Linked DNA regions of Elephas maximus indicus. The protein of the gene in region 1 binds, or shares a complex with, the protein of each later gene. Links are inferred from orthologs where the notes say so. Each region holds a gene or a part of one and is shown in the gene's direction. Other genes may lie near its edges. The genes, in order: TAF7, TAF13, TAF11 and GTF2B.

Evidence for each region.
Region 2: TAF7 (region 1) and TAF13 share a complex: the UniProt entries of both Homo sapiens proteins name them as parts of the TFIID basal transcription factor complex. The link is inferred for Elephas maximus indicus from reciprocal best matches to the Homo sapiens genes TAF7 and TAF13.
Region 3: TAF7 (region 1) and TAF11 share a complex: the UniProt entries of both Homo sapiens proteins name them as parts of the TFIID basal transcription factor complex. The link is inferred for Elephas maximus indicus from reciprocal best matches to the Homo sapiens genes TAF7 and TAF11.
Region 4: TAF7 (region 1) and GTF2B share a complex: the UniProt entries of both Homo sapiens proteins name them as parts of the TFIID-containing RNA polymerase II pre-initiation complex. The link is inferred for Elephas maximus indicus from reciprocal best matches to the Homo sapiens genes TAF7 and GTF2B.

What each region holds. Positions count from the first base shown.
Region 1 is NC_064820.1:154,654,540-154,661,977, reverse strand, and holds TAF7 (transcription initiation factor TFIID subunit 7), read left to right. Parts: upstream 1-4,607; 5' UTR 4,608-4,946; intron 4,947-5,353; 5' UTR 5,354-5,417; coding exon 5,418-6,467; 3' UTR 6,468-6,930; downstream 6,931-7,438. UniProt on the Homo sapiens protein: The TFIID basal transcription factor complex plays a major role in the initiation of RNA polymerase II (Pol II)-dependent transcription.
Region 2 is NC_064821.1:172,516,803-172,524,083, forward strand, and holds the start of TAF13 (transcription initiation factor TFIID subunit 13), read left to right. Parts: upstream 1-4,268; 5' UTR 4,269-4,329; coding exon 4,330-4,356; intron 4,357-5,228; coding exon 5,229-5,307; intron 5,308-7,281. UniProt on the Homo sapiens protein: The TFIID basal transcription factor complex plays a major role in the initiation of RNA polymerase II (Pol II)-dependent transcription.
Region 3 is NC_064819.1:97,761,231-97,769,246, reverse strand, and holds the start of TAF11 (transcription initiation factor TFIID subunit 11), read left to right. Parts: upstream 1-5,002; 5' UTR 5,003-5,119; coding exon 5,120-5,290; intron 5,291-8,016. Other genes in the region: ANKS1A (ankyrin repeat and SAM domain-containing protein 1A), read right to left, coding at 3,447-3,643. UniProt on the Homo sapiens protein: The TFIID basal transcription factor complex plays a major role in the initiation of RNA polymerase II (Pol II)-dependent transcription.
Region 4 is NC_064821.1:138,982,667-138,990,376, reverse strand, and holds the start of GTF2B (transcription initiation factor IIB), read left to right. Parts: upstream 1-4,692; 5' UTR 4,693-4,783; coding exon 4,784-4,800; intron 4,801-7,710. UniProt on the Homo sapiens protein: General transcription factor that plays a role in transcription initiation by RNA polymerase II (Pol II). Involved in the pre-initiation complex (PIC) formation and Pol II recruitment at promoter DNA.

The sequences.
Region 1 (7,438 bases):
TAGTGCATCTGCTACGTAGTTCACTAGGCAGAACAAAGACAGCGGAAGGGACACAGTACTTCCTGACGCTCCGCGCGCCTTCTCAGAGCTGAGTACACTCGCTACGGTTTCTTCCGGATTACAAAAATGCCCTGGAAAGAAAAGACAGCGCCTAATCGGGGTCATTACATATCCTGACGTACCTAAACAAGATATTTGGAAGAGATTGCAGGAGAGCTTGCAGAGATCTTTCTCGAGCAGATCGCCGCGTCAGAATCGCCAGTGGATTGCTCTGCTTTAGTCTAGCCACCGATTGGGGGACAGCGGCACCCAGAGGCCTAACACGGTATCTACCGCACGTTGTTTCTGAAGCCCTCCTTAGAGACTGTTCGGACTTATTTTAAAATTTCAGTTGATTTAGTATAAAAGGTGCAAATAGTTATTTATTTTTTGCCCAAACGTTAATAAAACAGTCCACAAAAATGGAAATAAAACATTGTCTTCTTAATATCTTAAAATTCACGTTAACTTAAAATAAGAATCCTCACGGAATCTTCCCTTCTGACATTTACTTTTGAAGAAGTCAATATACTAACAAAGCTTCCTTTTCTTTAAAAAATGGGTTACTCAATAACTTCTCCATTGTAAAAAGATTTCTACATTATAAAAAGAAATTCTATGATATAAAAAGGAAATTTTCATTATAAAAAAGGTAGAAAATACTGATAAAAAATTTAAATCACCCGTAGTGGCATTATATAATCACTGATATATATTTTGATATCTATCCAGACTTTTTCAATACATACATGCTTTTATCATTCCAAAAACAATCAGTTCTTTAATAGATACTATTGGTTGCCCATCTTCTTTTCTAACACTTCTTTTTTAGTTCAGGTTTCCACCCCCTACTTTCCTAAGAGGAAGCTGAACCTATTCATAGCTGCATTAAAAAATTTTTTTTTAAATTAGATCCTGATAAATATAAGCCAATAATGGTAATCTCATTCCTTTTGACAGTGCCTGGCTTAGGAATATAGGCTTAAAATAATAAGATTAGGGCTGAATTTCTCACCCTCTGTGCTCCTGGCCTTTTAAGCCAGACAATTCTTTGTTGTGGGAACTGTCCTGTACTTTGTAGGATGTCTAGCCAGAAGTGCCCAGCCCCACGGGTTGTAACAACCAAGAATGTCTCCAGCCATTACCAAATATACCCCTTCCCACCTTGAGAAGCATGGGTTTAGGGTCTTACCCTAGGGACTACTATTGAACCAGGGATAGAAACATGACCTAAATTGGTCCAATCAGACTGAAAGAAAGACTTTGGCTAGGGGAGAGCCACTCTCTTAATTTGCCATGAACAAGGAAGGAAATTCCCCAGTTATTGTTGGCAGTCACTTTATGACCACACACAGTGGTAGCCAGCTTGAATGTTTACAGGCAGATGAGGGCAGAGCTGAAACAATAACGGAAAAAGTAGAAATAAATGCTACTTTTTCAAAATTAGGAAGAGAAAAAACAAATTGTGCAGGCCATAATTTTTTTTTGCTTAGAGCCAGCCATACTTCCAGGCCTGTGCTATCCAATATAGTAGCCACCAACCACATGTAGCCATTGATCACTTGAAATGTGGCTAGTCCAAAATGAGAGGTGCTGTAAGCGTAAAATACACGAGATTTTGAAAACTTAGTACAAAATAAGAATGTAAAATACATCATTAATAGTTTTTATATTGATTACATGTTGAAATGATAATATATAGGATTAAATAAAATAGGTTATTAAAATTTATTTCACTTGTTTCTTTTTACCATTTCATTCTGGCTGCTAGGAAACTTAAAATGCCATATGTAGCATGTATTTGCAGCTCTCATTATATTTCTATTGGACAATGCTGCCTGTTTTCTGGGATAATAAATTTTCTTACTGTTTAAACTAGTGCATACTAGTTTTTCTTTCTTTCTTTTTTTTTTTTTACCCCTACAGAGAGCTTCCTACTTGATATAGGAGACTGTTGTTCATATTTGTAGGTAACCTGATTTTTAAAAAACAAATGATATAGCAGTAAATAAGCTTAATTTTTTTTTTCTTTTTTGAGGGGAGGAGTGTTTGCTATTCCTCATCCTGTAATTTTCTACTTCCAAAATATAAGCAGGACTTCTCCCTTCACCTGTATTTAACCTCCAAAGAAGCTGAAAGTTTATTAAAGGGAATTTTCAAATGTATGGTATTAGCAGTAGCCTGATTGTCATGCTCATTTATCATAAGTGCTTTTATTAAAGGCTACAAAGGAAGGCTTTGGAGGAACTGATACCACACTAGACAATTTCTCACTCTCCTCAAATCTTTGGTTCACTGGTATCACAGATACTCCATGGAGCAACCACAGGAGGGTAATTCTTTCCAGTCAGAGTCTGTGTTTTTCTGTCTAAATGGATTTGAAAGAAACAACTGGATTAATCAATGGACATTAAGGTGATGGTGATATGGCAGAGATCTTAGCTTTAAGGTCGGTATAATTTCACCCCAAGTACAGCATGTAGATGGCCCACAAAAAAGAGGAAGACCTTAAGTGAGATGGATCGACACAGCAGCTGCAACAATGGGCTCAAACATGGCAGTGACTGTGAAGATGGTGAGGGATCAGGCAGTATTTTGTTCTGCTGTACACAGGGTCACTGTGAGTTGGAACTGATTCCACCGCACCTCACAATACAACATAGCATTTAGATCGTGTGCTACAATCAAAAGCAGATACTATGCTTCAGGATTCAAGGGGCTAGGTACTTCAGGGTAATTCAGCTAATCCCTTAATTATCTCACACAGTCTTCCATTTAAACTTTTACTAACTAAAACACTTCCTAATTTTGGAAAATCTGAATTTGATAGAATTTATCTCAATCTATTTTTGATGACAAGAATATTTGAGCATCATAAAACTCACAGGGAATTAAAATGCAAAATAATTCTTGGATTATTGTCATGTATATTTTTTATATAAGTATGGCCTAATATTTTACATGGTTAAATAAAGGATTATACAGAAGTCAGCATGTTAAATTCTTACACCTATAAAATCAGCTATAATTGAGGAACAAGCACACTGAAAAAATTTCATCACAAAAGAGGAAATAGATCATCCTGGAAATTAAGGACGAGTCAGCTAACATTCTTGAACACATTGTAGGACGAAGTGAAATAATGTGCAGTCCTCTGGGAGGGCATAATTGCGCCTTCAAAATTAACATAAAAAAATCAAACTGGTGCCAGGCCATTTTAACTTACTCCCATGATACAGGAACACAGTCTACCTACACAAAAGAGGATATATTCACATACACTATTAGTAAATCTCCTTCACCTCTCATTTACTAGATGGAAAAGCATAACTTTATGTATTAGAAATATATAAAAAAGTGGTTTTATATCATTTATTTTCTCTCACAAATAACTATAGGATTGTTTATATTTATGTTCTTTCTAGATGGATCAATTAAATTGTTCAATTAGCAATTTTTGTGAGTGTGTGTAACTCCTGTGTTCTGGAACTAGGCACTGGAACACAAAGAACAAGATAAAAAAGGTCTTGACTAAGACTGAGATTTTAGTCTGGGGTGATAACAATAAAAATGTACATAAATAAAGCAATTTTGGAAATGTTAATGAGATTTTAAGAGTGTTTTCTTAAATTAAGAAAGTTACCTTAAGAAAGGATAGGAATTAAATTCTAAATGACCTTGATGCTTTACCTATTTAAAAAACAAATGGAAATGAGTAGGAATAAGTGCAAACTGTCACATAGTTCACCGAAATACTATACACATAAACCCACTGCCGTCGTAGTTGTTGATAAATACCTGGCTTCCCATAGAAGACATAGGCAGAAAAGAGCAAAATAGTAGAAGTGGAGTGAAAAAAATTCCAAAGTGATTTCCAGACTCATTAAAATACTACTGGTGAGGGGCAGTATATATATACTACTTTAACAGATTATCTACGAGACAATTCTGTCCTAAATGAACAGACGCCTTCAGAAGAACACTTATTTCTGTTTACATTTATATATACGTCAAACGCATTAAAAGGAAAAATCACCCCTGTTTCCCCGAAATTCTTCAGAATAGAAATAGATCCAGATATCACGGGTTCTCTGGGCATTTTCAAAATCCACAAAATGTAGACATTGAATTATTTAGTGGGCAACACTGCCCTCCTCATTGCACTGATTTCGGTACTTTAAAACCCACTCGATGGGATATCCTCGGGAGCGGGGGTGGGGGGTGGGGACCCGACATTTTGCCAGAAGCAAAGACGCTTTCGGCACCGACGCGTTTATCTCCCGGAATCGCCCTGAAGCCTAGACGCTGTCCGGCTCCAAAGCAATCCGGTAAAAACCCGGACTTAATAGGGGAGGGAGGAAAGAAGGATGGATCTATGTCTTTCTTGGAACTGTTTTCTCTAAATATTTTCAAACCAATAACTCTTTATGAAACATTCTCGCTTTTATTCCGTTAAGGCCATACTCTCGCGAAAGTTTTTCCACGCCTGACAACCCAACTGCGCCTGCGCGCGCATGGCCAGCCCGCACTTCCGCAGGGACCGTGCTGTCACTCACAGCCGCTTCCCGCCCGCGCCGTGACGTAGCGCTTCCTGCTCCGGCTCGTTTTGCAGCTCCGGACCTGGGGTCGCTGAGCTGCTTTGCAGCTGGGCTGCCGAGCTGCTGAGCTGCCCAGCTGCCGAGCTGCCGAGCTGCTGTGTCTGGCTCTCGGAGTTTCGGATCTCGGCGAGCTTTCGCGCTGCCCGTCCTGAGGTCTTTCGTTTTAATCAGCAGCGGATCACTTTGCCGAGCGCCGGGAAGAACAAAGGGAATCAGGGAGACTCTCGGCTCCAAGTCGCCTTGCTCCGAGCGGCTTCTTTTCCGTCTGCTCCTTTCCGAAGAAGCTGCTTTTGTAATCGTCACTGGATGGTAAGTACTCGAGACGAAGAGAGCTCGCTGCGCTCGCTTTTTGAATATCTTTGTTCCGGGAGAGTTTGTGGATTGGGAGTGTCTGCTGGGCCCTGCTCTTTGTGCCGAAAAAGCTTTCGGCGGGAACCGCCATTTGCTTTCCTGCTTGCTAGCTCGCTCTGCATTGTCCAGCAGCGGCACCTAGAGGTTGGAGCTTGACTTTGCATCTAATTGATTTAAATGAAAGTAACTGAATAAGCGAATTTGTGTCAGTAACGACTGGTATCCAGTCACAGCATATTTAGAGAAAATACCTGGGGTTTAATTCAGAATTAAGACAAAATAGACGCTTAGCTGCTATTCTGCTTAGAACTCTTTGTAATTAAAAGATTTCAGTTCATAACAAGTGGCTTTTTTAACTTTTGCAGTAATTGGAATTTTATATTGAAGCAAGTGCTTATTACCAGAGAAGTGAGTCACAGAGAAATCAGGATGAGTAAGAGCAAAGACGACGCTCCTCATGAACTAGAGAGCCAGTTTATCTTACGCCTACCTCCGGAATATGCCTCGACTGTGAGGCGGGCAGTACAGTCTGGCCATGTCAACCTGAAAGACAGACTGACAATTGAGTTACACCCTGATGGTCGTCATGGTATTGTCAGAGTGGACCGGGTTCCGTTGGCCGCAAAATTGGTAGATCTGCCCTGCGTTATGGAAAGCTTGAAAACCATTGATAAAAAAACCTTCTACAAGACAGCTGATGTCTGTCAGATGCTTGTAGCCACAGTTGATGGTGATCTCTATCCTCCTGTGGAAGAGCCAGTTGCTGCCGCTGATCCCAAAGCAAGCAAGAAAAAGGATAAAGACAAAGAGAAAAAGTTTGTCTGGAACCATGGAATTACCCTGCCTCTGAAAAATGTCCGAAAGAGAAGGTTTAGGAAGACAGCAAAAAAGAAGTATATTGAATCTCCAGATGTGGAAAAGGAAGTGAAGAGGTTGCTGAGTACAGATGCCGAAGCTGTCAGTACTCGTTGGGAAATAATTGCTGAAGATGAGACAAAAGAGACAGAAAATCAGGGCCTTGATATCGCCTCTCCGGGAATGTCTGGCCACAGGCAGGGCCATGACTCATTGGAACATGATGAGCTTCGAGAGATATTCAATGACCTCAGCAGCAGCAGTGAAGATGAAGATGAGACACAGCATCAAGATGAGGAGGATATAAACATCATCGACACTGAGGAAGACCTGGAGAGACAGCTACAGGACAAGCTAAATGAATCGGATGAACAGCACCAGGAAAATGAAGGAACCAATCAGCTCGTTATGGGAATTCAGAAACAAATTGATAACGTGAAAGGCAAGCTCCAGGAGACTCAGGACAGGGCAAAACGACAGGAGGATCTCATCATGAAAGTGGAGAACCTGGCTCTCAAGAACAGATTCCAGGCCGTTCTGGATGAACTCAAACAAAAGGAAGACCGAGAAAAGGAGCAGCTCAGCTCTTTGCAGGAAGAGCTAGACTCACTCTTAGAGAAGTAAGAGGAGCTTTGTTACTTTGTCTTTAGACAGTCCACTGAAAGAAAAACCTTGGACTGGTTGTTATGTTCTTGTAGTAGTCCCTATTCCCTCCATTACCTTCTTTTGAAACTATCCCTTTTAAACCATTAGGCTAGGTGTTTATCTTGTAGGAAATAGGATTGTATAGATGGAAAAATGTAGGAAAGTTGTAGGTTTAGTGGAATGAACAATTCAACCTTAATAATCACAGTTTCATTGCAGGACATTGCTGTTTTTCTGTTTGCTAGAAGCTGTTACTACTGCTTTGTGGTGCCATCTGAGATCAGTAAGAGTCTAGCCTAGAAGCAGTGAAGCTAGTTTGCAAATTTTTTCCTGTGCACTAGGTCCTTTCTCAGCTATTAAAAGCAAACATTTCCACATGTAGAGTTGCAAATCGTTTTATGAAGTTGTTTCTAACACAGTAAATAAAAGTAGCTAATTTTCACTGCATAATGTGTCTTGTTCTTTCACAGGTAGTGGGAGTGAGAGCCTCTCCTGGGGTGTTTTCTTGGTGGGGTTTAATGACTGAGCAATTTGGTCCTTTGCAGCTAAAGCAGCAGCTATGTTGTGTTTTGAGTAAAAGAACACAGTAGGGGCAAGGAAATTGGGAAATGTCTTAAATTGCTTTGTATTAAATTTCCAATTCTATTTGGAGATTAGGAGACAAAAGGTACAGAACCTTCCAAAACTACCTTCATGTTCATAGATTAAGGTTTACTTATACCTTGTTTTTTTTTTTAAAGCACTCAAGTCACTTGCTTAAAGTGTTGGAAATAATGATTCTCAAGTGCAGATCAGTAAATCTGTTGGTTTGAATTAGAATTATTTCTAAGTATTTTCCATTTAATTCCTGTAGTTATTTAATCTGAGAATTGAGTAATTTACCCATGTCAGTTTATCAAAATTACTAATAAAGGAAGTCAGTATCATAGTCTGATACTTCAAAATGTATT
Region 2 (7,281 bases), on another chromosome or scaffold:
TTTGCTACAGATGATCTGGTAAGCAAGGTAAACACTATGGTTACTTGCTTAGTGGATAATCTGCCTCTCAGTACATATTACTAACTGTAAGATGTACAAAAAAAAAAAAAAGAGGATGATTGTAAGTGTGGTTCCTCCTAACTCTAATATGTCATTGGGGGACTACCTGTATATTATTATCAAGCTACTAAACTATTTGACATAAGGAGCCCAGGTGGTACACTCGGCTAATAACCAAAAGGTTGGTGGTTTGAACCTACCAGCTGCTCTGCAGGAGAAAGATGTGGCAGTTTGCTTCTGTAAAGAGTACAGCCTTGGAAACCCTATGGGGCAGTTCCACACTGTCCTAGGGGGTCACTATGAGTTGGTAACAACTCAGTGGCAATGGGTTTGTTTTTTGGGAAGCTGCTTGGCATCTGGGGTCTTAAAATCTTGTGAGCAAGCAGGTATCTAAGGTACAGCAAATGGTCTCCATCTGACTAGAGGAACAATGAAGAAAAGAAGCTAAGAAACCAATTAAAATAATGTTTATTTCACAAAAAGTTACCCCACCAGAGGCATAGCTAGGGTAATGAATGCCCAGGGGTCATCTCAAGTCAAGGCCTTGCACAGTCTAATCCCAGCCTCATCCCAGCTTCATTTCCTGTATCCCTACCCAACAAACTTGTCTCTGGCAACCCATCCAGAGCATCTTGTAGAAACATGCCGTGACTTTTCATTCTGTGTTTTATTTCTGCTCTGCTCATCGTGCTGCAACTTTTTTTTCACTTTATTTTCTATTTTGGATTTCAGGTTCAGTGTATAATTATTCATGCCCCATGGTTTGTGACTATTGTAATTGGCCCTTCCAAAGCCCTTCTCATGTTATTAAGCTATTTATTTCCTTTTATCCCTATTCCTATTCCTCCTACCCTGCAACGTTTCCAATGTGTTTAATGCCTATGCTTTTGTTTATATGTTCCTGTAAAATGTATATTGTTTTGTGTGCATATAATTTTAATTTACATAAATGGTATCATGCTATAGTTCTCATTGTGTATTGTTTTTTTACTTAAAAAAACAAACAAACACTGCTGTTCCATCAATTCCAACTCATAGCAATCCTATAGTACAGAGTAGAACTGCCCTATAGGGTTTCCAAGGCTGTAATCTTTATGCAAGCAGACTGCCACCTCTTTCTCCTGTGGAATGGCTAGTGGGTTCAAACAGCTGACCTTTCAGTTAGCCGTCCAGCTCTTATAGCCACCACACCAATTAGCTCTATGTGTTTAAGCTGCATCCATGTTGCTAATATTTTCCTTCTGACTGCTGCATAGTACCCCTTGGTGTGCACCCAGCACAGTTTACCTATCCACTCCCCTGAATGAACACTGGTGTCTTAGCCATCTAGTGCTATTATAACGGAAATGCCACAAGTGATGGCTTTAACAAACAGAAACTTATTCTCTCACAGTCTAGGAAGCCAGAAGTCTGAATTCAGGGCGCCAGCTCCTGGGGAATGCTTTCTTTCTTTGTCAGCTCCTGGGGAAGGTCCTTGTCATCAGTCTTCTTGCTGATCTAGCAGCTTCTCTGTGGAGGTACCCTGGGACCAAATAATTTGCTCTGCTCCCAGCATTTCCTTTTTTGGTGGTATGAAGTCCCTCTCCTCTCTGCTCGCTTCTTTTATATTTCAAAAGAAATTGACTCAAGATACAACCTAATCCTGTAGATTGAGTCCTGCCTCATTAATATAACTGCCTCTAATCCTGCCTCATTAACATCATAGAAGATTTACAACACATAGAATAATCACATCAGATCACAAAATGGTGGACAACTGCACAATAACAGGAATCATGCCTAGCCAAGCTGACACACATCTCGGGGGGACACAATTCAATCCCTAACAACTGGGAATATTTCATACCTGACCCCCTGGACAAGTCCAGTCTTTCATTACTGCCTAATATAGTGGTTCTCAGTCCTATCGGACTCAATACCAAAAAAAAAAAAACAAACCAAACCTGTTGCTGTCTAGTCGATTCCAACTCGTAGTGACCCTGTAGGACAGAATAGAACTTCCCCATAGGGTTTCCAAGGAGTGGATGGTGGATCCCAACTGCTGACCTTTTGGTTAGCAGCCAAATGCTTAACCACTGCACCACCAGGGCTCCACTGAACTCAATAATCCCCCTTAAATAACAAATATAATGCCCCTTTTATTATCCTGAAAATGAAATTCACAGATAATAGGATCTACTAGGGTAGGTGGCTTCTAAGACAGCCCACTGTGATCCCCGCTTCCTGGTATTCTCACCCTATGTAGGATATCGCTTCCAAGATTAAGTTCCAAAAAGATTGTGTCTCCTGCCTTGCATAGTCTCCCTGGCTGTTTTGCTCACCTTCTTTGAGAAAAGCCAGCTGCCTATGGAATCAGTTCATATGCCTATGAATTGTCCTATGGAGAGGACCATGTGACAGGGAACTGAGGGAGGACTCCAATAGCTGATGAAGAACTGAAGCCCTTAGTCCAACAGCCCTCAAGGAATTGAATCCTGCTGACAACCACGTGAGTGATTTTGAAAGTGGATCCTTCCCCATTGACCCTTCAGATGAGACAACACCCTGACTGCAACACTAGAGAGACCTTGAGTCAGAGGTGCCCGGATAAACTGCATCCAGATTTCTGACCCACAGAAATTGTGTGATAGATGTTGTTTTAAGTTAGTACATTTTTGGGTAATTTATTACACAGCAATAAATAGCCAATACACCTACTGTCTTAGTCATCTAGTGCTGCAATAACAGAAATACCACAAGTGGATGGCTTCAACAAACAGAAGTTTATTCTCTCAGTGTCTAGTAAGCTAGAAGTCCAAATTCAGGGTGTCAGCTCCAGGGGGAAGCTTTCTCTCTCTGTCGGCTCTGAAGGAAGGTCCTTATCATCAACTTAGTCTGGGAGCATCTCAGTGCAGAAACCTTGGGTCCGAAGGATGTGCTTTGTTCCTGGCACTGCTTTCTTGGTGGTATGAGGTCCTCATGTCTCTCTGCTCACTTCTCTTTTTATCTCAAAAGAGACTGGCTGAAGACACCATCTAATCTTGTAGATCTCATCGATATAACTGCTAATAATCATCTCATAGCGATAGGATTTACAACACATAGGAAAATCACATCAGATGACATAGATTGGCACAATTCAATCCATGACACCAACCAATTTCGGGGTACTAGCATTCCTAGAAAATTCAATGTACATTAAAAGTGTAGGGAAGTATTTTTGTATTTATGTTAGCAAAGCTAGGTTCTAAGCTCAGATAATATAGTTTTTTCACTCACATGAATGTTCAGTAGGACATTCAGAAATCGTGTGTATTACGGAACAATTTTCACATTTGGCATCATCTGTAGCATTGCAGGACATCTCATATTCCTAGCCCTGGCCCTCTAATGATCTTGGTTTTCCTAATCATTGTTACGTCCAAAAAAGCCAAAACCTATCGCCCATTGTCGTGGACTCACAGTGACCTTATATAGGACAGAATAGAACTACCCCATCTGGTTTCCAAGGCTGTAACCTTTAGGAAGCTGACTGCCACATCTTTCTCGGGAGAAGCGGCTCGTGGGTTGCAACCCCCGACCTTTCAATTAGCAGCCCAGCGCTTAACTATTGAGTCACCAGGGCTCCTTTTCATGATCAAAAACCCTAGGAGGTGGTATCGCCCCTTGAGAACTAGTAACGAAGCACAATATCCCCAATAACTAACACTGTACTTGGCAATAAATGATAGTGGAACTGTAAATGGCTGAAATTGTTTAAATACACCTTCAACCAATTCAGGAGCCCTGGTAGTGCAGTTGTTAAATGATATACGGTCGCTAACCAAAAGGTCGGCAGTTCACATCCCGCAGCCGCTCCTTGGAAAACCTACGGGGCAGTTCTACTCTGTTCTATAGGGTCGCCATAGGTCTGAATCGATCGGACCGCAACAGGTTTGTTTTTGTTTTTGCTTTCCATCAGTTCAAGGACTGCTGGCTTGTCCCTCAATGGCAGTACCGAATCAGGAAAACAGTAGTTCCCAACTTAAAAGCAAATGTAGGCTGACGACGAAATACACGCCACCTAGACATGACTGCCTTCTCTCTGCTGTTTTTTAATTCTTTCCTCGGAAGGACGGACCTCGCCCTTCTTTCGTTAGAGATTGTTCCCGTTAGGCCTCCAGACAGGACTACTGGCACTCCTCCCCGGCGGCTGCCCGGCTAGGCCCCGCCCCGCGCCTGACGTCACAGGAAGTGAGGAGGCGGAAGTAGTAAAACCCATTTAGAGCGAGAGGTTGGCTGACTGATGAGATGGCAGATGAAGAAGAAGACCCTACCGTGAGTGACCGCCTCTGTGCCAACTCTCTCTTTTCTTCACTCCTTCAGGCTCAGTAGCGGCGGCTTCTGAGGCCGAGTTCAGAATCAAGTCTGTTGCCTTAGTGATTGAACCAAGAAAGTTTGGGGACCTCGCGCCTCGCCCTTAAACAAAAAAGAAGGGAGCCCTTAGGATTCATCTTTTTAGTACGTGGGGCAAGACGTGAAGGAAGAGTAGGAAGGTAGCACCTTTCCGTTTGGTTTTGGTTCATATCTTCCAGACACCTTTTGGAGCGTGTAGAGAATCATTAGAGTTCAAAGCCAATATTTGTTAGAGCTCGTTATGAGCCAGCAGTTCAACTAACAGAACTTTACTTACTTTAAAGTAGTGAAAAAATAATGAACCGATATCAGGGAGCTTGGATTTCAAAATTTGTTTTCTCTGTGAGCAAGTTATTTAACCCTGAGCTTCGGTTTCCTTGTAACATGGTGTTAAGGCTTACTTAAGTAAAGCTCCTAGTACTATGCTTAGTAAATACTAGTTTTGCTTACTACAGTGAGGTAAACTTCGATTCAGTACAACTCTTTTTGACAGTAACACTGTCTACCAATAGGTCAATTTGGTTAAAAAAAAAAAACTTACAGTCATTGGAACTCTTCAGGAGAGCCAGTGGGATTATTTGTTAGGAACAATGTAGAAAGCATTCCTCATGAGTCAGAAGTTGGACTAAATAGTCTTTAAGGCCTTGTCATTGCTAAGGTTTCATGATTTATTGCTTCTTGTGGGGCTTTCTGGTCTGAGACCAGTGTTGATAATGGGAAAAAAAATGGTAATCATTAAAAATCAAATGCAATGCAATCATATGACATTTCAATATATACATTTTAACTTCTAGTTTGAGGAGGAAAATGAAGAAATTGGAGGAGGTGCAGAAGGTGGACAGGGCAAAAGAAAGAGACTTTTTTCTAAAGAATGTAAGTTGTATTTGACAATGATTTTATTATAGATGATACAAAGTTTTGGACACATCCATTCATCAAAGTAGGTTTATCGTTCTGAATATGTTTCCCTGTAGGTAAAATGTTCTCACACTTGCCTATAACATCCTGTTTAACTTTTGGATAGTAATGGTCCTAACCCCAATTTTTATGTATATTTTAAGGAGGACATGTGACCAGTGTTTCAATTCAGCGCGTAAAAACATATCGCCATTACTTTTCCTGTCCTTCCCTTTTGCAGCAGGAGGAGCAAAAACTCCTTTGACTGTAAGTCACAGGTGAATCCTGGGAACACATGTGCTTGAGAGTAGGAACAAAGTTGGGGATTTGGACTGAGGTGGTGGACAAGGCAGGAGGGCAGGTGAACAGTGTGAGGCATTACAGTGCCACAGAGATAAAATGTATCGATTCTCTATCCTGCTCACTCAGTAGACAGTTTTGACCCTTTTTGGCAAGAGGGAAGGAGAGCTGCTGTGAGTACTGATCATCAAGACATACCCCCCCTTGTCCAAAGGCACCATGAGAATGTGCTCTCCATCTCCCATTCCAGGGTCTTTTAAATGTAGCTATGACCATGGGTATTGACAGATGAGGCAACACAGATTTATGAATACCTGGTGTATTTATCCTGGATCAGACATGAGCAGTTCTCAAATACTGTTGAAATCACAGGGTCAGTATGCCTTTTTTTTTTAAACCACATAAATCCTTCTCTGTATCTCAATTCCTCCCCTAACGCAGAGCTTACTTGACCACTCCTTATTCCATCTCTGATGCTACTTATGCCATTTGTATGTGGTTTTAATAACTATTATGTCAGTATAAGAAAGGGGACCCCACAACAGAGCATCTGGGAGTGATGCTTGCATAATTAGTTCTTAGCAGAGACCTTTGTTCCACGTCAGTTATCTTTGTGATGACAAGAATTTGGAATCTTCACAGCATTCTTGTCTTACCTGAGTGTTCATATATCTTAGTGATCAAGAGCTGTTTTCCTGAATCCTCTTTTTAGAAAAATTTTAATATAACATGAGATGTTTCAGAGCATTCACTGGGATTTGTTCATGCCTTTATAAACCCTTATACCAAATACAGTTTATATACTTCTAATATAAATTACCCTTTTCCAGAGAAACATATTTCCCTACCGGTGAATTCCACCCATCAAAATGAGAGCAAGAAAATAATCTCTCAAGATATTTAAGGAAAAATAGTAAATTTATAGGGGGCAAATCCTGGCAGATATCACTTTAACCAATTAATCAAAGTTAACATCACCAGTAATATATACTGATACGATATGATGCATTGAGAAAGGCAGATAGCCTCCCCTGGAATGCATAACCTCAACCTAATCATGGGAAAGCATCTGACAAACCCGGTATTCTTCAAAAGTGTCAAGGTTATGAAAGACAAGGAGAGACTGAGGAGCTGTCATAGATGGTAGGAAATGAAGGAGGTATGACAGCCAAATGCAGTGTGGGGTCCTGAGTTGGATCCTGGAACAGGATAAGGACATTAGTGGAAAACTAATATCATCTGAGTAGGTTCTGTGCTGTAGGACAGAGGTGAACTGCCATATAGAGTTTCCAAGGTTGTAATCTTTTTTTTTTTTTTATTGTGCTTTAAGTGAAAGATTACAAATCAAGTCAGTCTCATACAAAAATTTATATACACCTTGCTATATACTCCTCATTGTGCTCCCCCTAACGAGATACACATTCCTTCTCTCCACCTACTCTTTTTCTGTCCGTTCAGCCAGCTTCTGACCTCCTCTGCCTTCTCATCTCCCCTCCAGACAGGAGCTGCCCACATAGTCTTATGTGTCTAGTTGATCCAAGAAACTCCCTCCTCACCAGTATTATTTTCTATCCCATAGTTTAGTCCAATCCCTGTCTGAAGAGTTGGCTTTGGGAATGGTTCCTGTCTTGGGCTAACAGAAGGTCTGGG
Region 3 (8,016 bases), on another chromosome or scaffold:
CATATACTACTACAAACTCTGTAAGGGTGAACCACCCATGTATCAGGAGAAGGACTAATTTTGGTAGAGTGCCTACCATGTGCCAGGAATGAGAGAAATTTTGCAGTGCATTGAGCAGTTGGCCTGGCACAAAGTAGGTGATGAGTAAACACTTGGTAAATGAATGGCATTAATGTGCCTGCCTGAGCAGGTCCTCTTCCTTATTTACTTTCTACTCTGCTATGGGTTGGAAAGATATCCAAGTGTGGAAGTACACCATTTAGGATGTGTCCCGCATGGGACTTTGCACATAGCAGGTGAGGTACGGCAAAAATGTATGTGCTGAACTGAACTGAGCATGGCTAACAATGAGCACTTACAATGTGCCACAAATTTGCTGAAAGTTCCCTACACACATCATCTAAGACAATACCTATTAAGGCAGATAATATCACCCCCACTTTATGGATGCAGAAATTAAAGCTCAAGGTGGTTAAGTAACTCTTATAAAGTCCAGTAGCTACGCAGTGGTGGCAGCGGAACATAAATCCAGGCAGTCTAAGTGCGGAACAACTGGTCTTAAGCAGAATGCTATACTGCCTCTGAATAAACACATAGAATATAAGTTAGGCTGGAAGAATATGAACTTCATCTATGTGTTTTCTTTCTATTAGAAATCTTTGCTGACTTTCTGATTCTCGGGTGTATTTTCAGTAGCAATAAACTGTGAAAGCTAGGCAAGCAAAGAATTGTCGATAGGTAAGCTAACACTACAGATGATATATTCCAAAGTAGAAGCCTGAGACATCTGTGTGTATTAGGGTCATCAGGGAGGGCTTTAAGAAGTTAAGACCTAAGCCCAAGTAGAATGAGAGAAGAGACGGGCAGAGAGAAGGGGGCACAAAGTACAAAGCCATTGTAGAATAAGGAGGGTCATAATAGATGAGTAAACATAAGCACACATGGGGTTTGGAACATTTATACCCTCTGCAGCTTTAAGCCCCCATTCCTGCCAGTTTTACTCAGTCACTCAAAGAGCTGCACCAATGCAGGATTGCAGTTGGCAGGACTGGTGGGGTGGGAGACGGCAGCTAAGACAAAAACCAACTCTAAAGTTTTGATTCTATAGCCGTATTAACGTTATGACTCCACAGCTAACTCAGGGTCCTTGAAGTGGGGGTACAGAGGGCCTACCTTTCACTATTTCTAAGCCTAAAAAGGGAGGACATGCTGACCTGGGATTATTTAAATGCATGGTCTCATTTGCTCAGAAATCTTTCACTCATTTTAACCAGAGTCACCACTGAGATGGTTGTAATTAATGACACACCTATTATAACTAGTGCCTGCACATCCTCCCTGCCCCCAGGAGTCGCAGGAATGAGAGGCTAGGGCAGTTCTAGGCCTTCTGCTGTTTCAACACCACACACAGGAGTAAGTCAGGCGTCAGCTCTTTTACTCAGGAGAATGGAGACACCACCCACCCTTTATGACAGACACAGAACACATACATGAGCATGAGGCCCAAAGTAAAAACACTGTGCTCAACGGAGATTTCCTAGTCTTGCAAAACTATGTGACAGCTAAATCTCAACAAAATTCCAACAGTCCCTGAACGAGGGCACTAAGAGTGACTTGACCTGTACTTGGGGGGAGGAGATATATGAAAGTTTCTCGCTTCAGCAGAGTATGCTGCAGGTTTAAGACATCTCTGGCAAACCTCCAAATACTGCATCTTTCCATTCATTAGAGGCAGACACATCTCCAAACTTCTATAGTCTTTCCCCATCTCTCGGACATCATAACTGCAAAGTATGGAAGTAATCCAGGTAAGACTCAAAACCTGATTCGTACATTCAATGCACATTTACAGAGCACCTGTGAGTTGTCAGGCACTGACCTCAGTGCTGGAAATATAAACATGAGAAGGGCTAAGTCATTCTGAATTCAGATCCATCCATTATTTTGCTTTATCGCACCCAACCACAGTCAAGGCTCCAGGTGGGAAATTCTCCTTAAGAGTTGGAATTGACTCAACAGCAATGGGTTTGGCTTAATTTAGCGTTCCACTAGCGCCATTCCTTTCCCACTTTTGTGCTTCTAACCATGGTGTGCCCACCTGGAAAGCTCTAGCTCACAGGACTTCGCCTATCCAAGTCCTTGCATCCTTCAAGGCCAGCTAAAGTCCCCCTTCTCCTGGAAGCCTCCCCTGACCCCCATGTCATCCAAAAGCAATCTCTCCTTTCTCCAAACTACTAACAATTACAGCGAGTACCAATCAGTTTATTTAGAAATTTATGGTTTTCTACTTCATGGTTTTATTTATTCGTCAAATATTTAGTACTTACTATGTGCTGGCATTGTTTTACAGGATGGGGAGACAGCAGTGAATAGCACACGGTTTTGCCTCCCAAAAGACGCTCCTGGGGAGAGTTAGTTCCCTTACACTGCTTTTTAAGATCCTTCTGTATACACCTGGGTTGGTACTCAGTGTTTAAAACTTAACAATTTATTAAAACCTCGTTCAAGCACATTCAAATCGCAGTTAAATAAACTAATGGGGAACAAATGCTAACGAAGCCATTTCTAAATGAACTTCCACATCTTAAAAACCTCAAAGAACAAGGAAGGAAAAGAAAACAGGGTATGAAAGCGCTGCTGAAATAACAAAATTTAACTCGCAGTGACGAAGGACCTTCAAACCCCCTTCCAAGCCACAAACAGTGGCCTTTTCCTTCAATCCTTTCAACTCTAGACCTAAGTGTTTATTTTAACAACAGATCTTGGAAAAGTTTAAAGAACCCCTCCGTTTCCTAAACAACTCTTTCTAAATCTTTATTTCTTGATGAATAAATCCCCTGATGAATCCTGCATATGTCACTAACAGACTAATCCAGTGAAGTGCAGTACAAGGAACTAGAATTCGAACTTCAAGCGCAAGGCGGGCTCAAAGAAGAACACTTTGAATCTGACAAATCCAAAGACAATTTTAATATAAACAAAAGCCAGGTCCTGCAGAGCCTGGAAGAAGGTTTTAAGTTCCTAAAGAATCAACAGAATTTCTTCCAGGAGAGCCGCGAAATTCTGCAAGGCGTGGGAGTTTCGGCAGGAGGTGAGGGAGGTTTAAAATACTTATTTTTTTGCTCTAAATCGGCTTGTGAGATGCCACAGCTGGCACCCTATACCGGGTAAGGGTGAAGCCGAGCTGTGCCATGAGGCGGAGGGTGCCACCTGGGCACTCCCACCATTCTTCGCACCCGGGTAGGACACGGGAGGAAAGCCCGTGGCCGCGCGGACCCGGACCAGCGCCCCCTCCAGTTCTCGGTCCGGTGGGCCGCCTGTCCTCGCCCCGCTCAACCCGCAGCCCACCCCGCCCAGGTCTCAGGAGCCCCGACCTCTCTGGGGACCAGGAGATGGGCGGGAGAGGGGGATCTCCAGGCGGCGGCCCGGTCCCCGCGCGTACCCACCTGAGCAGACTGGAGAGGGGGTGGCTGGAGGAGCCGAGGCCGCCGCCGCCGCCGCCGCCGCCGCCGCCGCCGCCGCCCCCGGAGCCGCCTCCGCCGCCGCCGAAGCCGGAGGAGAGCCGCTTCCCGGACAGCAGCTTCTCCACCGCCGGGAGGTGCCCGGTGCGGGCCGCCTCCAGCAGCTCCTGCTCCTTCCCCATCCCCAGGGCCGACGCCCCCTAGACCCCAGCCCCGGGGCCGCAGCAGAGCCCGAGCAGGCTCCCAAACTTTCCGTCTCCGGGCAACGCACCCCCCAAACCGGCCGGGGACACCACCCCCCTCCCCCCCGCCTTTTCCCCACGCGCGCGTCACTTCCGGGATCTGGCGTCACGCGTCACCGCGCCCCCGAGCCCCGCCCCCTTGCCCACCTAGCTGGGCGGGGCTGGGAGGGCGGGCTCAGGTGGCTGGGCCAACGCGAAGTGGACTCCGCTGTAGGGATAGGGCTCGAGGGGCCAGGGGACGACACCGTGTGGCCATTCGCTATCCAAGTGGAAGGGGACAAACGAGGTCTACCTGTACACGCCTCCCAAAGTGCGCTCCTTTACCGAAGGTTTTGGGAGCCCACGGGACAGGAAATACGGTAATTCATCCAGGCAGTGCAGAAACAAAGAGAGAAATATGGTAACGCGCACCTACATTCCCAAGTTTATTCTTTAAGCACGCACAAGTTAAATATCTAATGGGCGCGGGGACCTAGTGATAGGTGAATAAAACGTGCCCTTTTCCCGGACTTTATTAATGAGCTCGAAGGAGGAAACAGAGGAAGGTTTTAAAATAGATCTATTCTCACCTCTTCGTCCTCCCAATTCCTGAAATGGCTCATTGAGTGAAACATCAAAGGAGAAAATTTGACCCCGAAAGGATTTGTTTCCTTTTTTTTTTTTTTATGAGATTAACCAAACTGACATAAAAAGGCAGATTTGTGAAACCGGCCCCGAACTTTCCAGTTACTGGTAAGTTGTAAACATCATTTAATTGGGTAGGAACTGTTTTGTTCACTGGTTCCTGGTTCGAAGTAGGCGCTCAAGAGTTGTGGAGTGAATAAATGCAGTGGATAGTTTCTGCTCAATCTAGTATTACTTTTTTTTTTTTTTTTAAGTGCATGCGGAATAGAAATGTTAGCAACTCATTGTAAACCCGGGCCCGCAGTCTGTTTAATTGAAACGTACGCGGTTGAGTCTCTGCCTGGAAGTTTGCCAGTCAAAGGCAGCCGCATCCCGCGGCACGAGCACACAACGGAACTGAGTTTCCTTCCATATCCCCGCAGCTTCTTTACTCAGCGAGTCAGGTTAACGAGGGGGTTAACTGATATTGCATTTTTTAAAAGGCGGAAAGGAAAAAGAAGCCCTTCAGTAAACAAAAGTGCGCGCCTTCACAAAAGCTGGTTACCCCGGAGCGAAGGATCCACAAACTGAACTCCGTACCCCCAATTTTCCCTCACCCCACCGCCCCACAAGAGTTAAAACAGATCATCAAAAGCCGCTCTACGTGCCCCCAATTGACCCCTCCGCCGAGCGGTAGGGGTGATGTCATCACAGCGCGACGACAGGAAGTAAGCTCCGGGGCTGCTGAGCCGAGCGGGGTTCAGCGCTCCCGCGTCTGACAGCGCCGCGGTCTACTCTCCGCCTCTCGCGGAGATGGACAATGCCTGCGAGTCGCCCACGGACAAAGGTGGAGAGACAGGGGAGTCAAATGAGACACCCGCCGCTCCCTTGGGTCCCGGGAACGCCAACACGGACGGAATACCCGAGGAAGCTGACGGGGACGGAGATGGGGAATTGAAAGAAACCCCGGTGGAAGAAGGCGAGGTAGGGAGGTGTGTTGTTTAGGCGGGAGGAGTACACCGAGACTAGGTTACTGGGTGCTCGCCAGGCTTCTTGGTTGGTCCCTCCTAAGCTACAAGAGCTCAAATTCACAACACTGTCTAGATCGTCAGTCATGGGAAAAAAGCCTAGTGCTGGTTACATTCCAGAGGCCCACGTACAGGGTTAATATTTTTAATCCCTACTCTTAGGAATTAAACTACTTCTAAGGGAATTTTAAACAGTCTTTGGTGAAGAAGTTAGGGCCCGATGTCACATCGAGACTTAGTGCAAGAGCCAGTACTAGAACCCAGGATTACCGGCTATTGGCCTAGTATCTTTTTCACCAAAATATGAGTCCTCTTGTTAGCTGCCATAGAGTCGGCCAGACTCATAGCAACACCATGCACAACAGATCGAAATACTGCCCGGTTCTGCACCATCCCCATGATGGGTTGTATTGGACCATTGGGTTGTATAGGGTTTTCATTGGTTGATATTCTAAAGTAGACGCCAGGCCTTAAATCTGTCTTACTCTGGAAGCTCCACCGAAACCTGTTCAGCATCATAGCTACAGGCAGGCCTCCACTGAGGGAGTGGCAGTGCATGAGGTCCACTGGCCGGGAATCCAACCTGGGTCTGCCGCATGGGAGAGTTCTACCACTGGGCCACCAGTGCACCCATGGGCACTCTTAGATGTTGGTTAAGCATAACTTTTGTCTTTATAGATGACAGAACCGATAAGATCCCATTAAAAGGAGACTTTGAAGAGAGACATTCTTACTCTCTTGGGACATTTAACTGCTACCAAGTACAGTGACCTGTGTGCAAATGTCAAAGAGTCTATAGAGCATAAAAACGTCAGACCCATCGGTTATGCCACCCCCAGAGCTCAGAGTGTTGCCTAGCTGAGGATCTGCCAAGTGACCAGAATCTCAGCATTCTCTGTGTTTCATTTCTAGAGATAGAATCTTGGGGTCTTAGAGCTAGAAAGGACTTAAGAGATCGTGGAATCCACATTAGATTAGATGGAAATAGCCTTTCGGGGCACAAAGTTGCCTCCAAATATACAAAGTAAGTTTTAGAAAAAAAGATGTGACAAAAACTATTTTAAGAAAGAGCCTTTAAAAGATGTCCCAAGGACAGAAAGGATTTAAATAATAATTAGCTTGGTCCAATGGAGAGCTCTACCATCTGTCTGTTTGTTGTACTGTAGTGGCTTATGTGTTGCTGTGATGCTGGAAGCTATGCCATCGGTATTTGAAATACCAGCAGGGTCACCCATGGTGGACAAGTTTCAATGGAGCTTTCAGACTAAGACAGACTAGGATGAAAGGCCGGGCAAGCTACTTCTGAAAATTATCCAGTGAAAACCCTATGGATCACAACAGAATATTGTGCGACATAGCACTGGAAGATGAACCCCCTAGGTTGGAAGGCGCTAAACAATAGCTGTAACAATGGGATAAAACATGCCAGTGATCACAAAGATGGCACAGGACTGGGCAACATTTCAATATGTTCTACATAGGGTCGCCCAGGAATCCAGGCTGACTAGATGGCAACTAATAACACCACCTAGCAATAGAGAACTCACTACAAATAGAACTTTGCAGCCAACAGAGAATATAGGTTCTTTTTTGATACTTCTGAAACACTTTTAAAAATTGATCATGTACTAGGCCACAAAGAGAAACGTAAATTCATAAATGTAGAAATCATAATAGGCCACGTTCTGTTAGTACAGTGCAATTGTTATTCTTGTTAGTTGCCCTAGAGTCGGTTCCAACTTAAGGCAGTAAATCCTGAAATTAACAATAAACTAATCACTGGGTCATTTTAAATAGTCCTTAAAGAAATTAACAAAAAGAACAGTCTGTATCAAACACTATGGAATTTGACCAAAGTCTAACTTGGAGAAAAATTCACAGCCTTAAATATTTTTGTTAGTGAGTGAACAATATCGAAAATAAGCACCCAACTCAAGAAATCAGAAAAAAAAAAAAGCAAAATAAACCAGAAGAATGTAGGAACAAAGAGCTAATTAGGATAAAAGTAAACATTAGCGAATTAGCCCTTGAAAAACGTTAAGAAATCATAAAGTTAAGACCTGATTATTTGAAATGTAAACGTACAACATTACAAAATAAGAAAGGGGCTATAAGCACTGATATGGAGATCCTTAAAGTTAGGAGAAAATTTAATGTTCAAGTTTAGGCCAAACAAATTTGAAAACCTAAACCCAAACCTGCCGTCGAGTTGATTCCGACTCATAGAAAATCTAAGAAAAATGAATGATTTGCTAGGAAAATATAAATCACCAAAATTGAAGCACAAAGAGGTTAGAATTTTTATATAAATCATTAACTAGAGAAGAAATTTGAAAAGCATGTCTATCTTCACTCCCACCCACCCTCCATTCCCATATTCCTGTATGAGTTTAAATGTGAATTCCTCTTTAAGGGAAACAGGATAAATCTCATTCGTGAGTTTTGTTGTACCCTTAGATTCTGTATTGACTTCAAGAGGATAAAGTTTGTGTGTGTGTGTATATATATATATATTTTTTAATTAAACAGAATTTTATTGAACAACTAGCATGAGTAAAAGTCTGTTAAATGTTTATGGGGGAGATTTATAAATAGTAGGAGACTATCTTCAATAGTTTTCATTCTAGCAAAGGGAAATAAAAGGTTGCTTGATACAGTAGAAAAGTTAGTTAGGAAGCAAGG
Region 4 (7,710 bases), on another chromosome or scaffold:
TCTACTAACACAGGGTTAGGAGTGTGAGGAGTTCTCTTATTTTTAAGAATAAGATCCTGGAAAACTGCACTGGATAACCTACATGTTAGAGATCTATTCTACTCAGAAAAAAATAGATCAGGACATAAAAAAGCTAACTTTCAAATGATGAACAGTCAAAATCGATCTCCAGTTTCTGTGAGGCTCTGCTGTTCCCCCAGGTCCTTTTCCTCTGAGCCTTACAACATAGGCACCTCATATTACTTCTGGGGAGGGGAAGGAGAGGTGAGGAATATCTCTGCATTGCAAGCGTGAAACAGGAGAGCTCATTGCTACTGGAGCTTGTGCACTGCCTAGCTTCAGATGGACTTTTACTCTTCTGCCTAGGCAAAACCAGACCACCAAGAAGCAGGCCCAGGACAATGGCCAACTGCGTGTAAAGATTATATCTGGTAACTTATTAAGTATTGTCATAGTAAGTATTAGTATTATAATAGCCTCAACAATGGACTCAAACATATCAACGATATCATGAAGATGGTGCAGGACCGGGTAACATTTTGTTCTGTTATACATAAGGTTACTGTGAGTTGGAGCTGACTCATTAGCAACTAACAATTATAATGTTACGTAAAAATATTTTTTAAAAAAACAGAATTTTTAGAAATGCATACTAAGTTATATATGGGTTGAGGTGACGTCTAGGATTTTTAAAAAAATATTTTAGCCAAGGGAGAAAAAAAGAGAAGGAAGGGATATATGAAAGAAATGTGGCAAAATCTTAATTGTTTAATCTGGATGATGGGTATATGGAGATTCATTATATTATTCTAACTTTGAGCATGTTTGAACATTTTCATATGTGACAAAAAAATTTTTTTTTTTTAATCTAAAAAACCCCTGAGGTTTCGAGAAGTAGTACATATGACCCCTGAGCTAACAGGCACATGAGACTGGTGTAATATTTTAGAGGTCTCATCCCAGTTCTGATGGAGTCCAGTCAGACCTGGTTGTAGATTGCACCGAATCCCCCATTCTTCCTAGTCCAGCAGAATGTCTTATAATTTCCAAAAAAACTTTGTCAAAGCCCACTTAAGTCAGGAAAATTGCCAACTTTGCCAACATCACCAGACACTTATATAACAGACACATACATCAGCATCTCCAAAAGTGAAGTCGCAAAGTAAATCTAATGAGCCTCCAAAACATTCTGCCATGTTAAAAAAAAGCCAGACACAAAAGACAAACACATAAAATGTCTTGAAAAGGCAAATCTATAGAGACAGAAAGTAGGTTAGCGGTTCTGGGGCTGAGGGTGGACTGGGTTTAACTGTAAATGGGCATGAAGGATCTTATTGAAGTGATGAAAATGTTCTAAAATTGGATTGTGGTGATGGTTGCACAAGCTGGTAAAATTAGTAAAATCACTGAATTCTACTTTTAAAATGGATGAATCCTATGGTATATAAATTATAACTCAATAAAGTTTTTTTTTTTTTTTTAAGCCTAGGTGGCTCACAAACTTCTTATCTTTTATTAGGTATGTAAAGCATATTAGATCTTATAAGAACTAAAGTAGCATATCAAGTTGTGATTTTATAGTAGTAATATAAACTTTTGAAATAAAATTTTAAGTTAAAAGGATGAAGTAATTTAAATAAAAATGTTAGTGCAGGTGGTGCATGGATATGGAAAAAGGAAAATGAAAATGTTACTCAAAAATCACGTTTTGTTCAATACTAGTCTAGATAGATCATTGATTCCTAGGTGGTAAAATCCCAGTTGCGTGTGTGTTTGTCTTAATCTCAGGATCAGATAGAATGATTAAATGGCTTAATGTTGATGAAATACTTATAAATTGCCAATCCATGCCGATAAAAGGAAGGACCTGCTTAGTTGCTTAACGTTAATATAAAACAGAAATCCTTACAAGGTCTGACAAATAAGAGCCTTTTACTAATGGACCACCACTACCACAGGCTCCACCAGACTCAGTCCAGCACAACTAGATGGTAACCAAGTACCACCACCGACTGCTCTGACAGGGATCGCAACAGACAGTCCTGGACAGAGCTGGAGAAAAATGTAGACAAAAATTCTAACTCACACACAGACACACAAAAAGACCAGACTTACTGGTCTGACAGAGACTGAAGAAACCCCAAGAGTACAGCCCCTGGAGACCCTTTTAACTCAGTACTGAAGTCCCTCCTGAGGTACACCCTTTGGTTTAGACAGACCCATAAAACAAAATGAGACTAAATGGGCCACACCAGCCCAGGGCCAAGGACAAGAAGGCAGGAGGGGACAGGAAAGCTGGTAAGGGGGAATACGAGGTCGAGGAGGGGAGAGTATTGACACGTCGTGGGATTGGCAATTAACGTCGCAAAACAATATGTGTATTAATTATTTAAAGAGAAACTAATTTGCTCTGTAAACCTTCATCTAAAGCACAATTTAAAAAAAAAAAATTTTTTTTAAGGGCCTTTCTAGGTGCGACAGGAGTAATTTAACCAGTCACTCTGCCTCCCTCTGAGATTTCTTGTTCTCTGATGGTTTCTTCATTCAACAAACATTTATCGAATGCCTACCGTCCTTGTTCTTGATCCTCAAGATGACACCCACTGGCCCTCCTGCTTTTCTCCCTCCTTTTCCTCAAAGCTAAGCTGCTCTACCATGAAAACTTCCCACCAGATTGGGGCAGAGCACCCCCAAGCCCTTTCCTGGTTACACTTGGCACACCTGAAACACGTTGGAGTTTTGAAAACTTTTCCAAATATTATTGTTGTTGTTAGGTGCTGCGAGTCGATTCCGACTCATAGCAACCCTACGTACAACCAAACGAAATGCTGCCTGGTCCTGCGCCATCTGCACAATCATTGCTATGTTTGAGCCTATTGTTGCAGCCACTGTGTCAATCCATCTCATTGAGGGTCTTCCTCTTTTTCACTGACCCTCTACTTTACCAAGCATGATGTCCTTCTCCAGGGACTGGTCCCTCCTGATAGCATGTCCAAACTATTTAAGACAAGGTCTCACCATCTTCGCTTCTAAGAAGCATTTTGGTTGTTCTTTTTCCAAGACAGATTTATTTGTTCTTCTGGCAGCTCATGGTATATTCAATATTCTTCACCAGCATCATAATTCAAGGGCATCAACTCTTACTGACTGTCCAGCTCTCGAATTCATATGAAGCAATTGAAAAAAACCACGGCCTGGATGAGGAGCACCTTAGTCCTCAATGTGACATCTTTGTTTTCTAACACCTTAAAGAGATTTTTTTTGCTGCAGATTTGCCCAATGTGATACATTGTTTATTTCCTGACTGCTGCTTCCATGGGTGTTGATTGTGGATCCAAGTAAAACAAAGTCCTTAGCAACTTCAATCTTTTCTCCATTTATCATGATGTTGCTTATTGGTCCAGTTAGGATTTTTGTTTTCTTTATGTTGAGGTGTAATCCATACTGAAAGCTGTAGTCTTTGATCTTCATCATTCAGTGCTTCAAGTCCCCTTCCATTTCAGCAAAGACGGTTGTGTCATTTGCATATCGCAGGTAGTCTTCCTCCAATCCTGATGCTGCATTCTTCTTCAAATATTAAGACAGAAAGAATATTACCAACATTTTACTATTTCCAAATATTAAGGGAGAAAAAAACTTACAAGAGTACAGTGAAGTTTTTAAATTACAGAATTCTAGAATGGAAGATTGGAAAAGACAGACAGAAGGAAAACAGGCTCTCCTATCCCCATATAGATTTCAGTTCCTGAACTCCTTCCCCTCCCATCCCTTCTTCTTTCTAAGGAATACAGTCTCTCCCACCTTCTTAAGAAAACAATGTGCACTCAGTGGCATTTAAGTCCCATCACCACATGAACAAAGCAGCCACTATATTCTAAGTCCTCATCACCACTGAAACGCTGGAGCACCCCCTCTTGTCCCGTCCCCTCAGGGTCAAGGGTGGTTTGTTCTCGGCAAAGTGGGGGTGGTATTATTGTTGTTATTATTACTATTCAGACATTAGTTTGGCTAATGAATAAATGTAGGGACCTTCTGCCATATCTAGATGTTCTGCCAAGTTCTCTACACTTCAGGTATCAGTCAAATTTGCAAAAGGCATGAAAAAAGTCAGGGCAGGGCCCTCATATTCCTGTCTCACATGCGGCAGAGTGCTCTCACATGCTTTTGTTTAATCTCCTGCCTCCTCTAAAAGGGTATGCAAGGCAGATATTATTACCCTTTGCATGGATGGGCTAGGGGATGTGATTAACAAGACAGAGCATGCTGGCTGACGACAGAGCCTGTGCTGGCTTACCTAAGTGATTTTCTCTCATTACTCCAGGTCTCTAAGTCAGAAATAATCATCCCTGGGGGCAAGTTAGCATAGTACTCCAACTACAGTAACCGACTCTCCGGAAGAGGGTTAAGCCTTTGTGGGATACAGGTTTGCTTGGTCTCCGCCTCGACGCCGGAGTTTTCTTCGTGTTTTAACTTAGTCAGGTTGAGGGTAGCTCTGGTGTAGCCTGTTTGCAGGGTTCCTTTGAGAGTTTCTCTAGGTAGTTTCGTTGACTTACCCAACAACGCGGCAAATATCGGAAAAAATAAATAAATAAGAAAACGCAAAGCACGTGTCACTCGGGATCTCAATTTTCTTGGCCTATCTCCCGACCCGTAGCCGCGCCCTAGTACGACTGCGTGAGCGATTTGCCTATAAAAGCCCGTCTCCAAGCGTTGTGTCGCCAGTCTCTTCCTGTTCTTAGTGCTGCTGTTGTTCCTTGTTTCGGAAGCCGCAGTGGCTGTGAAGATGGCGTCTACCAGCCGGTTAGTATGTCAGACGGTGCCCGGCTAGCTGAGGGGCGGGGGTCTCTAGACGGCCAATGAAGCAGCCGCGTAGGGCGAAGCGAGTGGCCGGAGATACTGGGAAGGTGCAACGGGACTGGCTGGCCGGCCCGGACAGTGACGCTTCCAGACAGCAGGACTGTCAGGATGTCGCAGGGGGTACCTAATCGTCGGCGTTATAGCCCCAGCGTCCTATGTCTTCCCAAGAGTTTCCTTTGTGGGGTCTTCTCGCCCGAGCACCACCGTCTTTGGTCCCCTGTGTCCCCAGCTCTTGGCCTAGCCTGTTGCCCATATTTCAACCGTTCTTTTTCATGTCAGTGTTTTCTACGCATATTTTTCCACCTACGGCTCAGCCAGCCTGAGGGGCCGCGAGTCCTCCTTTCCAAAGAGCGGGAAAGGGTTAGTTCCCGGTCCCTGTCGATCTGATAGCTGAAGAGTTGAAAACGTCAACGTTGGGTAAGCCGGATGGAAACTGGTTATCATCTCAGCTACTCCACGAAGTGGAAGCTAGGGCATTTCTGAAAAGTTGATTAGTTCCCTTTTAAAAGATCTTTTTACAAATGTCTCTGCGGAGTACTGAAGAAAATTTTATTCTGTCTGCAGAAAATTACTTACATATGCTGAGATGTCACTAGATAACATTATTTTTTAAGTGCACCCATATCTACAGGAAATGTATGCAGTGCCCTTAGACACAGCCTTTAATCTAGTGACCTAAAAAATGCATGCAGACCCTAATTATATCTCTTATTACCCCATGAGGTAGATATTAGTATTTTCATAAACTGAGTCATGCCAGTGTTGACCTTTCCAAAGTTAGAACAGAGTGTAGAAACTTAAGCTACCTGGTTCCTATTATCACACAGTTGGCCTCTGGTTAACTCAAAATGTATTGAAAGTTTCAAATTAATTTCTGCAGCACTTCCAGAAGGCAATTCTGTTATTTGTGTATGTGTGTGGAATTGGGTTCCCAATGAAAGTCCTTGATCAAACATCATAAGCTGGAGAAATCCAGGCCCTTTCTAGTGTCTGCCAGGACTTACCATTTTATGTTACTGTATTAAAAAAAAAAAAGCGAGGAGAGCTGCTTTAGCTAATGGCCTGTTTAGGTGTTTGGCAACAGTCCTTAAGGCCAATGACACCCTTGTTTACTGATTCTAATTCTGTGATTGAATGCTCAATCATTCTATCTGTGTGTGGTTTTGTCAGCCCAGAAAACACTTCCTTTCTGCTATGTAAATGGAAACTTTAACTTCCCCAAATCACCAAAATACAATTTATAGTCTTTCATGGCATTAGACCATGGAAGTAAATGTGATTCTATTTGGGCACAATTTTGCATTTAGTATACTATAGCAGGAAATTTTATTCGTAAAAAATGTTTCAGTAGTTAAATGCAGCGCTTCTAACCAATTTGGCATGTTTGGCCCCCTGCTGAGAGTTTGCCTTTCCACCCCAGATATACTGAGTCAGAATCCACATTTAACAAGATCCCCAGGTGATTCTTACTGATCTTGTTAAAATGTAGATTCTGATTCAGTATATCTGGGGTGGAAAGGCTATTTTTCAACAGGGGTCAAACCAGAGCAGACATTCAAAGCCCTAGTTAAATAATACAGATCATTAGTAAAGTCACAATACTTTACCCAAGTAGTACATTTGCCTTTGTGCACCTTTATTTTCTTCATTTGTTTTAAAAAAAAATCAATAAACTTTTTTTTAAGACATAGCCAACTCTTAAATTTTATGTGTCCTTGCTCTATTCCAGCTCTTGATTTTTTTTTTCTACAAGTAAGAACAAATAGTAAATGTTAGTGTTTCTACTTTTAGCATTTTTTTTTTTCCCTTGGAGAAGATGCACAGTTAATGGGCAATGGAACTGCTTGGTGTTCTCACCGAGAAGAGTACAAATGTTCTGGGTTCGAATCTAAGCTTCACCACTTACTAGTTCTGTGACCTTAGGCAAGTTATTCTGAACATGACCTTTAAAATAGAGATGATCCCTATCATGCGGGGTTGTTGTGAAGATTAATAATAACGTATATATAGCATGGAAGCCCTGTTGGCATAGTGGTTAAGAGCTGTGTCTGCTAATCAAAAGGTCGGCATTTCGAATCCACCAGGCACTCCTTGGAAACTCAATGGGGCAGTTCTACTCTGTCCTATAGAGTCGCTATGAGTCGAAATTGACTTGACAGCAATGGGTATATATAGAACAAGACACATAGTAGACACCCGGTAAAGCACGTGACATAGAGTATCTCAATTTATCTTGCCTTGCTGGTGGCTATAAAATGAGGTTTGGCAATATTTGACGTATTAGATAGTCTGAATTGTTTGAATGGTAGTAATGATTGTTTTCTCCATTTCTTCCCTATTATTTATCTGACTTCTCCCACCATCCCACGTCTTACGTGGTTCCTCTTTTATATTACTCTGAAGAGCAATTTGGTTAGAAGTTGACTACTTTAGCATGATTCTGTTTTTATTTTTGGATAGATAAAACATACAAATAGTGCAAAATAAAAAGTACATAAGAGTATATAGTGGAACACCGTATCCCTCCTTCCCCGGCTCCCAGCCATCTACTCCGCCCCCAAAGCAGCCATTGTTAAACTAGTTTCTTGGTGTTGTCTTAGAGAGTTTATGCTTTAACAAACATGTGTATGTGTTCCTACCTTCCATGCCCCCAAGAAGGGGCCTAATGTAAACACAAATTTTAAGTGCACAGCTCAGTTATTACACAGTGAGTGCACGTACATAGCTACCACCCAAGTCAAGAAATCAGGCACCACTAGCATTCCAGAAGCCTCCCTTGTGTCCTCAATCATTTCCCCTGCCCAAAGAGTACCAGCCCTGACTTCTGACGCCTGCTTTCAAGTTTACATAAAT